Linked DNA regions of Arabidopsis thaliana. The protein of the gene in region 1 interacts with the protein of each later gene in a pairwise test. Each region holds a gene or a part of one and is shown on either strand. Other genes may lie near its edges.

Evidence for each region.
Region 2: the proteins of ZF1 (region 1) and AT1G62120 interact in a two-hybrid assay, tested with the Arabidopsis thaliana proteins (one large-scale study listed by BioGRID).

Annotation. Positions count from the first base shown.
Region 1 is NC_003076.8:26,918,168-26,922,145, forward strand, and holds ZF1 (zinc-finger protein 1), read right to left. Parts: upstream 2,013-3,978; 5' UTR 1,713-2,012; coding exon 975-1,712; 3' UTR 598-974; downstream 1-597. Other genes in the region: AT5G67460 (O-Glycosyl hydrolases family 17 protein), read right to left, coding at 3,817-3,848, 3,932-3,978. UniProt on the Arabidopsis thaliana protein: Transcriptional repressor involved in the inhibition of plant growth under abiotic stress conditions.
Region 2 is NC_003070.9:22,959,541-22,964,190, forward strand, and holds AT1G62120 (Mitochondrial transcription termination factor family protein), read right to left. Parts: upstream 2,564-4,650; 5' UTR 2,100-2,563; coding exon 786-2,099; 3' UTR 599-785; downstream 1-598. Other genes in the region: AT1G62130 (AAA-type ATPase family protein), read right to left, coding at 2,825-2,938, 3,026-3,130, 3,230-3,289, 3,392-3,530, 3,616-3,776, 3,860-3,943, 4,030-4,140, 4,405-4,575.

The DNA.
Region 1 (3,978 bases):
TAAACTTTAAATCCCTCTACAACAAGTTTACCTTATTTTATTTTCTCCTTGTCATTTAAAATATACTCTATCACTTAAACATCGAAACATGCATTTCTGCTTTGCACTATTGGGCCGTTAAAGAAAAAGCCGAATAAATAAATACATGGGCTTATAAAGCTGGCTGGTTTATAACTCATATTATTAATGGGCCTACATTTGAATATTAAGATTGTAGCGGACCCGATTCGGGAAGCTCGTTACCACTGCCCCCGATCAAACCACTAGAACAAACAAGGGTCTTCAACATAACTATTAACTAGGATAACGATTTTAGACTTTGGATAAAATAAACAACATTTAGATGAAAAATCCTTACTCTAAACATAAATTTCCAGTTGCACATCATTATGAACAAGGCAGAGTGTTTTCAGTTTTTAGTCGATCAAACTAAGCCTTGTGTTACGAAACGTCACATATATACTTGCGACAATATGTTATTAACTGAAAAAATATGACAGATATTTTATTGATTGTTTATTTTTGTGTGATAGTTTATGTGAACGAACAGATCACTAGGAGCTGTGTGGAGTAACAGAATTCAAGTGGCTTTCCTTTGCTTGCGGAAGTAAATGAAGTATAGATTACGAAAATTAAATTTCTAACAAATAATAATAATTCACGATTACAGAATGGTCCACTATATAATAACGTGTACGATCCAATCATCCATCTCTGCATTATTATTTTCTTTGTAAAAAAAAAAAATATTTGTGTATCCCAATTGTTTCCTCTATCTATAAACAAATCCAACAACAAATTAACATTTCTTTTTAAAAATAATAATAATAATGCCAAGTCCACTCCAATCATTTTCATTACAGACCCAGTCAAGCTCAAACCGAAGCAACTGGAAAGAAACGACCGTTAATCTTCACCGTCCACTAACCCTTTCTTCGCTTGATAGTTGACTTTTTCCTCAAACTCAGTCAACGTTAAGAAGTCGTCACTGAGACTTGATCAGCCGGTAAGTTTAGGTCAAATCCACGGTGGCCACCGATCGCACTTTCTTCGGACCATCTCTCATTATCAACATCGCTGACGTCACTACCAGCGACGAGTTCTACGCTGTTGCTGCTACTTCCGTTACCGTTACCGTTGTTGCCACCGTCATAGTGACACCGTTTGTGTCCACCTAAGGCTTGACCAGACGCAAACGACTTGAAACAGATTGAGCAAGTGTGAATCTTTCCGCTTTGACTAACACCGTTACCAGTGTTCACGGTAACGTTAATAACAACGGAACCGCTGTTACTGTGACTGTTATTAGACAGTTCTTGGTTACCGGAAGTGATACTAGTGTTCGTCGGTTTCCGGTGACTCGTCTTGTGTCCACCTAAGGCTTGGTATGACGAAAAGGACTTCCCACAGACCGTACACTTGTAATCTCGGTGATCGGACGGTGACGCACGTGACGGTAGAGGAGGAAGAGGAGGAGATTGTACGGCGGAGCCACGAGCGAGCATGAGGAGACAAAGAGCGAGATACTCTTCTTCAGAAGGAAGGTTCTTGTTCGTTTCTTGATTCTGATGACCGTGATCAAAACGTTGACGTTTTGTTCGTTTTCTTTTAGCCCATTGCTCGAGATTCTCAGGCTCCATTTCTTCACGATACCGGAGAAGAGGCCGAGCGGTGGTGGTAGCTGTTGGAGAATTGAGAGTCTCGAGAGCCATAAGATTTAATTCTGTGAGATGTGATTTCGAGCTATTTAAGAAGAAGAAGATGAAGAAAGAGTGAAGTGTGTGGTGTATTGTAAGCACGTCTTGTGTTTGTGTTGTGTTTGTGTTTTTGAGAGTTAGTTTTGATTTATATATATATTTCTTGTAAGAAATCTTTAGAATTGGGATTGAGAGTGGGAACGTGGGCTATGAGTGATCAAGTGGTGCTGCTCTTGCTTTCTTCAATCCATTAAATTCCTTTATTTTATATTGACATATAGATGTAATATGTTGTCACTAATTTTGGATTATTAGAGTAACTATTTACCAAGTCAATGCAGTGTTTTTAGTTAGTAACTGCCAGAACTATGTTCAGAAACATCTTCAATTTTTTACGTTGAATTGAAAAAGATTACAACACTATGCGTCACTAATCACTATATGTAGTAGGTTGAAACCAAAAAATAAAAAATCACAGTTACGAGTTTATTTACTAAGCTAAGTATGCCACATAACTGAATTTTTGTTATTGATCATTGGCTGCTAAGTGCTAACTAAGTATACTTATTATTTTTTACTTTGTACTCACTCCTAATTAACCGTTTATAGATTTCGTGCTTGTTCAATGGTTTTATTTTCTCCACTTGCATTTTCTTAAATTTCCCAATCAACTATATGAATTACCCATTAATTTCAAATAGTCAGAAGACGAAGTTTCCACCAATTGTCGAGAATTCTTCAAAAGTTTTTAGTTAAACAAAAACCGAAATTTTGTATGACTTCCAAGTTGATTCTATATCACACTTTTCCTGGTAGTCACCCAAACTTTATATAACAATTGCAACAAATTAAAAAATAACGTCAATTAGGAATGTAAAAACTAAAATTAGGCAGACAATTGTTCTTGAAATGGAATGCCATATCTTCGGAGCTGTACTAAAATAAACAAATTAGAAAGAAGAAGAAGCTTTTGCCACTCTGGAGTATAAATCTTTTTCCCCGATTTGTGATATGTGGTGGCATTGGGATATAGCTTATCTGGCGTTCTCTCATTGGCTAAACAAGGCTGGATTCTTCTGGTGGACCACGTGGCGTAAAAAGAATGGTGAAACTTTTCGGTGGATAGTTAAAGTCGTTACGAGACTTAAAGCTCAGGCTAACATGACGGTGACACTTCGTTGCACCACCGTCAACACCGTCACATACACTATCCTATACTACTTGTTTACCTTCGAATTCGATTGGTTCGCCTTTTATTTTAGAAATAATAAAAGCTCACTTGATAAAAGAATGTACATAGGATTGTGTGTGTAAGACTTGCCCACTAGTCAGTAGTCCACCAACCAAAACACAAAAATGTTGAGTTAAAAAACAAAAAACAGAAGAAACTGAATGAGAGTAAAGTAATGTGTTAAATAACAATTGGGGGTCGTTGACGGAGATAAAAAAAGAATGAAAGAAAGTGGAGTAAGTCATAAGTCTTCGAGTTTGTTGTTGTATTATGAAGTGGGTCGTCGTTACTCATAACAGTTTTGTCTACTTAGTCAATTCAACTGCCAAAAAACGCTTCAACGATTATCTTAAAAGCTGTCGTTATGCAACTTATGATTGGGAACTTTTCTACGCGGTTTTAATGTAGAGTCACTTAATAGAAACAGTCCTTTGAAAATTTCTCAAAAATAAAAAAAATACGAAGAATACTAATCAGAGATCAATTGGTGACAGACCAAAAGCCCATCAACAAAAACAAACGACCCAAGGTTTATTTAACGCTTATATAAAACTTGGATATAAAACATTCAAAACAATCAGAGTGGCGCAGCGGAAGCGTGGTGGGCCCATAACCCACAGGTCCCAGGATCGAAACCTGGCTCTGATATAAGTTTTTGATTATTTTTTTCCATTTGGGCTAAAATAAGGCCCATTTCGGTTTCGGTAAAACAAAGCCCATTAATAGTGACAAGTGGGCCAAAGGACGGATTAAAAGTAAACAATAATTAAGTTAAACCCTAAATGATAAAAGAGTTAAACCATTGATTTAAACTAGTAAATTAATATCATCATTCTTCTTTGCTTCCGTTGTTTCTCAGTCTCCAGATCTTCAATGGCTGACAAATCTCTAACTCAGAACAAAACGGCAATGCTGATAACCTACAAAAGAAAAATCAAAGTCTTAAAATTTGCAATTCAGTTCTCTATTGAATCTTAAGGTAAATCTGAGTTATGAAACTTACTCGGGTCAGTGGTGATAAGCATGGCGGTTCCACCGAAAGAGCAAGTA
Region 2 (4,650 bases), on another chromosome or scaffold:
CGATTCTACCCCAACTATCCGTTTCTATTCGAGAAGAAGACTCTGAAAATTTCTACTAAACTTACGATTGAGCGAGGAAGAAGAGCAAATTCATTCATCAATCAGTGACCCACCTTCTCATAGATTGTTAAAAGTGTGACCTTTTTCTCCATAGAGAATTAGAGAAGACTCAAAGATCCAATTATCCAAATTGAGGGAGGCAAAATTAAAAAATGAGCTCTTTAGGGTTTAGGCAAAGCCCTCGTTTTGTTTTAATTTAGAACTAAAAATAAACATACTGTTGTTATTTGGCTATACTTGTTTTTGTCTCACAACAACAACAGAAGTATTATTACAAGATGTAACAACGACATAGACTTTACATGAGCACACAAGAGTGTCTTCCTCTAAAGGTCACATACTATATGTCCATTTCTTGGACCAGAAGAGTGAGTAATATCCTTCAAGATTGTTTCGTACAAGACTAATTCATCATCCTTCAGGGTTAAAAGTATTCGTGTTCAGACAATCCAAAACCTCTAGATCTCTATTCTAGTTCTACCAATAACCTACATATGTCATGTAGTAAATAGTTGTGTTGCTGTTTCTTGGTTATTGTCCCAAACGGATTTCACATTAGAAGAAAACGGGTTGGATCCGGGTCAACTTAAGATTACAAAAGTCTAAATGGGTTTCAGACACTCATACACAAAATCTATTCTCTACTTCCAAAAGTCAAGCATCAAGATTCACTAATGAATCTAAACCTAACAGAAAACAAAAAAAAAATCCATCCTTGACTTTGCTCATTGTTCTAGGCGTGTCTTCTGATCGGTGAGTGAAACACGATCTCCGGTGAAGATAGCCATCAACTCAGCCACAAGCTGCTTGTCATCATGTTTCCTAACATACATATATAAAAACACCTCACTGGTACTTGTCAAAACAGAGGATATTGGAGGGAGTTCACTTTCGAGCAATCCTTTTGAGATGAGAACTTTGATAACATTACACCTTGGGACAGTCCTCTTCTCTAGGCTGTATCCGAGTACCTGAGGGATTGAAGCCACAGCCTTTAGTGGCCAATTCATCTCCGTCACCAGAAACTCAGTCTTCGTCTTCATCAACTCTGTAGAATATCCAATGCACTGAGGGAATCGCTTGACCATCATCAAAAACTCATCTCTGCTGAATCCTAGGCCTAGAAATGTTTCAACGGAGTTCTCTATCTTCTTCTCAGACTTTGTCAGAATGTTTGGCCACTTCTTGAACATTGCCCATACATCGTCCACAGCCAAGCCTAACCTTTTACAGGCATTGAATTTATTTTCAATTCCTTTGTCGCTTAATCCGTAAAGAACGTTAAGAGCTTTGACAAAAGTTGCGGTGGTTGGATCAAAACCAATCTCAACAGCCTTCTTGAGTGATTCTTTAAATTTTTCTTTACCACAAACATCTCCGGCATCGGATATAAGCAATGAGAATAACAACCTCTGAGGCACACCCATTTCTCTCAACACCAATAAATTTCTGATTTTGTTCTCCTGCTTACTACCCTCTGGCAAAGAATGACATAACTTTTCTAACTTGGAACTCTTATCCGCTTCTATAATGACTTTGACGAAATCATAGTATCTGCTGAGAGATTTGCCCTTTCTCTTCCCCAATATTTTCGGAACTGCAGAAACAGTCTCGGTGAGCTCAGAGCTTGAAGCACCTATGGACTGCAGAAACTGAAGCTTGGGAGCAAGGGATTTCTCAGCATCTAGGATAAGCAATCTTGGGAAAGTCCTAATGATGTTGGAGATCTGAGAATCAGTGAACCCATGACTTCTCAAAAGACTCAGAACAGAATCAGGGTTGCCCTTGTTATCGAAACTGACTTTCATGGAGATCGATTCAGCGACTTTTGTAGCTAAACCTAATGAATCAACGAGGTAAGAAACTGTAAAGTTGTGACCTTTTCGACCATCTCTTGAGCTCACATCAGCAGCAATAGCAGAGGAGGAGAAGGTATTGGAAAAAGCTGATCCATTTTGAAAAAGATTCACTGAAACCCTCAAATGGCGCCATTTCTGCAACTGGACCAACTTTCTTCCATGGAGAATCAGAGAATACATTACAAAGACAATGCAAATAACTCACAGTGTGCTAAATCTGATTCAATTCGAGAAATTGAATAAAGCTCTAACCTTTAGAGCCACGAAGCTTTTTCGCTTCGCAGTTTCCTATATCCTCTGTGTCTGTGTGGGAAGAAGCCTCGCCTCCGTTATACATCGGTGTTACTGCTTGCCGAATTCAAGTTCTGGAGCTGAACTGCGTGTCGCTCAAATTCAATCAAAACAAACCGGATGATCAATATAATTCGGTTTAGTCGACTCGTTCGATTTACTGGAAGCGATTATAAACAACATCCATTGACATGGTCACATGAACGCAACTTCCACTTGGGAAAGTCGTCATCAGATACATGAAGCTTCATTTGGATACGGTTCTTGATTTCTTCAAGTGTTTCTATGCTTTCAAAGCAAAGATCGTCCGATTGATCGAAAAGGGAAAAAACATTTGGAACTAGAGACCGAACCTGACTGGTTTAGTTGAAATGTGAACCGTTATTAACTATTTAAGCTAAAACAAATTGTTGAAATGTGACTACGACAAGAATATAAGTCATTTGAAACTACCAGTGACCGAACCTGACAGGTTTGTATCAAAACTCCGACTAAAACCTGTTATTCTGTCAGAACTCACTATACCTTTATAGTTTATACTGTTTTATGACTATCTATCTATTCACGTGAACATATTATATACAACACATTCTGCTTCTGAAGTAGACTCAATCCTACACGTACTGGCTGAATGATTCATTCCTTCTGGATCCACCTTCCCCGTAGTCTTCGTTCCATTGTCGAAGCGCTGTCATGTTGACAGACTTTGATGAGATGCTCATACTCACCTGATTCAACAACATCGACAACAGTTATACAGTTCTCTGAGCCAGAGACAGATTTGAGAAAAGAAAGCTCACAAGCAAAAATCATACCAGCTCGAGTGCGTTTCTGAAATCCTCCATTTTTAAAACTCGGAGATCAGAACCTCCACTTCCAGCTGGAGGAACTCTGCCTTCAGCCACAGCAGCATCTCGCTCCTACCATAATATATCTCATCATAAGCATATTTTTATTCTATAGACTAGTTTTAGGCAGCATAAAGTTAGTTTTCTTGGTTTAACACAAAGACTACTTACACTTTTTTCCTTCTCCACTATCTCTATGATTCGACGGCGGGCAGCAGTAACACATAGATTCTGCACGCACCAAAAGAGCATGTAACATGGATATATATGAGCATTACTTATCATTTCGTCAGACCATAGCAAAAGGTTAAAAGGAATTACTAGGAATTTTACCTTAAGATCGTTTCCAGAATATCCATTTGTCATACTAGCAACCTCATCAATATCGAAATCAGGGGACAAGTCTTCTTTTGAAAGTATCACCTTCAATATCTTTGATCTACTACGAGCATCTGGTAGTCCCACCATCAACCTGCAGAAGCCAATACCAAAAACTTGTTACGACATGTCAATTTGACAGAAAGCTTAGTCCAACAAGGAAGCTATATATAAATTACCTATGAGGCAACCTTCTAATGACAGCCTCGTCAAGGTCAAAAGGTCTATTTGTGGCTGCAAGAACCAGAACACGTTCCTTTTCATTTGTCCTCAGACCGTCCCAATTTATTATGAACTCATTTTTCGTCTTCAGCCTGTACCGATGTAGCATGCTTTCCACCTACAAGACAGTAAAATATTGTAAGACAGTCAATGCTCTGACTACAAGCAAGATTCGCCCACGAATTGACCATGAGGAATTACCTCGTCCAAAAAGATAATGCTTGGGGAAATTTTACTAGCCAACGAAAAGACAGCTTTGACATATTTCTCACCCTCACTAAACCACTGCAATATTGAGAAGAACACAAGTTTGAACAAGAGATTCCGTGTATAAATTGGTAGAGTCCAACTTTTCAAGGATATTCTGTTACCCTTGACATTGACATGTTGATGAGGTTAGCACCAGCTTCCGTTGCCACTGCCTTTGCAAGCATGGTCTTTCCAGTTCCAGAAGGTCCAAATAAGAGAATTCCGTTACAAGGCTGTGTAGAGAAGTACAGGAGCAGACTGATTAGGAAGCCACCAATCCATAACGTTAACATCTAAATTATAGGAGATAAATTTTTTGAGGAAAGCCAAATTATCAGCTAGTATTACTAATATCGTCATTACTTCACAAAACTTATGAACATGTATACTGGTACACACAAATAAAAGGTCCTTCACAGATCTGTCATCAATTCGAGGCAGGACATAGTGAAACAATATGGGAATTTCCTAAAACCAAATGCGGATAAGACAACCACCTTTGTTAATTGCCCCTTGCAGAAAAGTTCAGGCCATTGAAAAGGAAGCATAACCAGTTCCTTTAAAGTGTCTTTGACATTCTCAAGTGCCCCAATGTCATCGAATGTAACACCAATTTCACTGGGCGGAATAATATCACTTATTTCAAACGTATTTTCTGTCACAATGTCCTGAAAGCAACAGAGAAAATTAACAATTGTTACATGATAGAAGGAATTGCCAGAGTGAAAATAAGTAAACAAAAA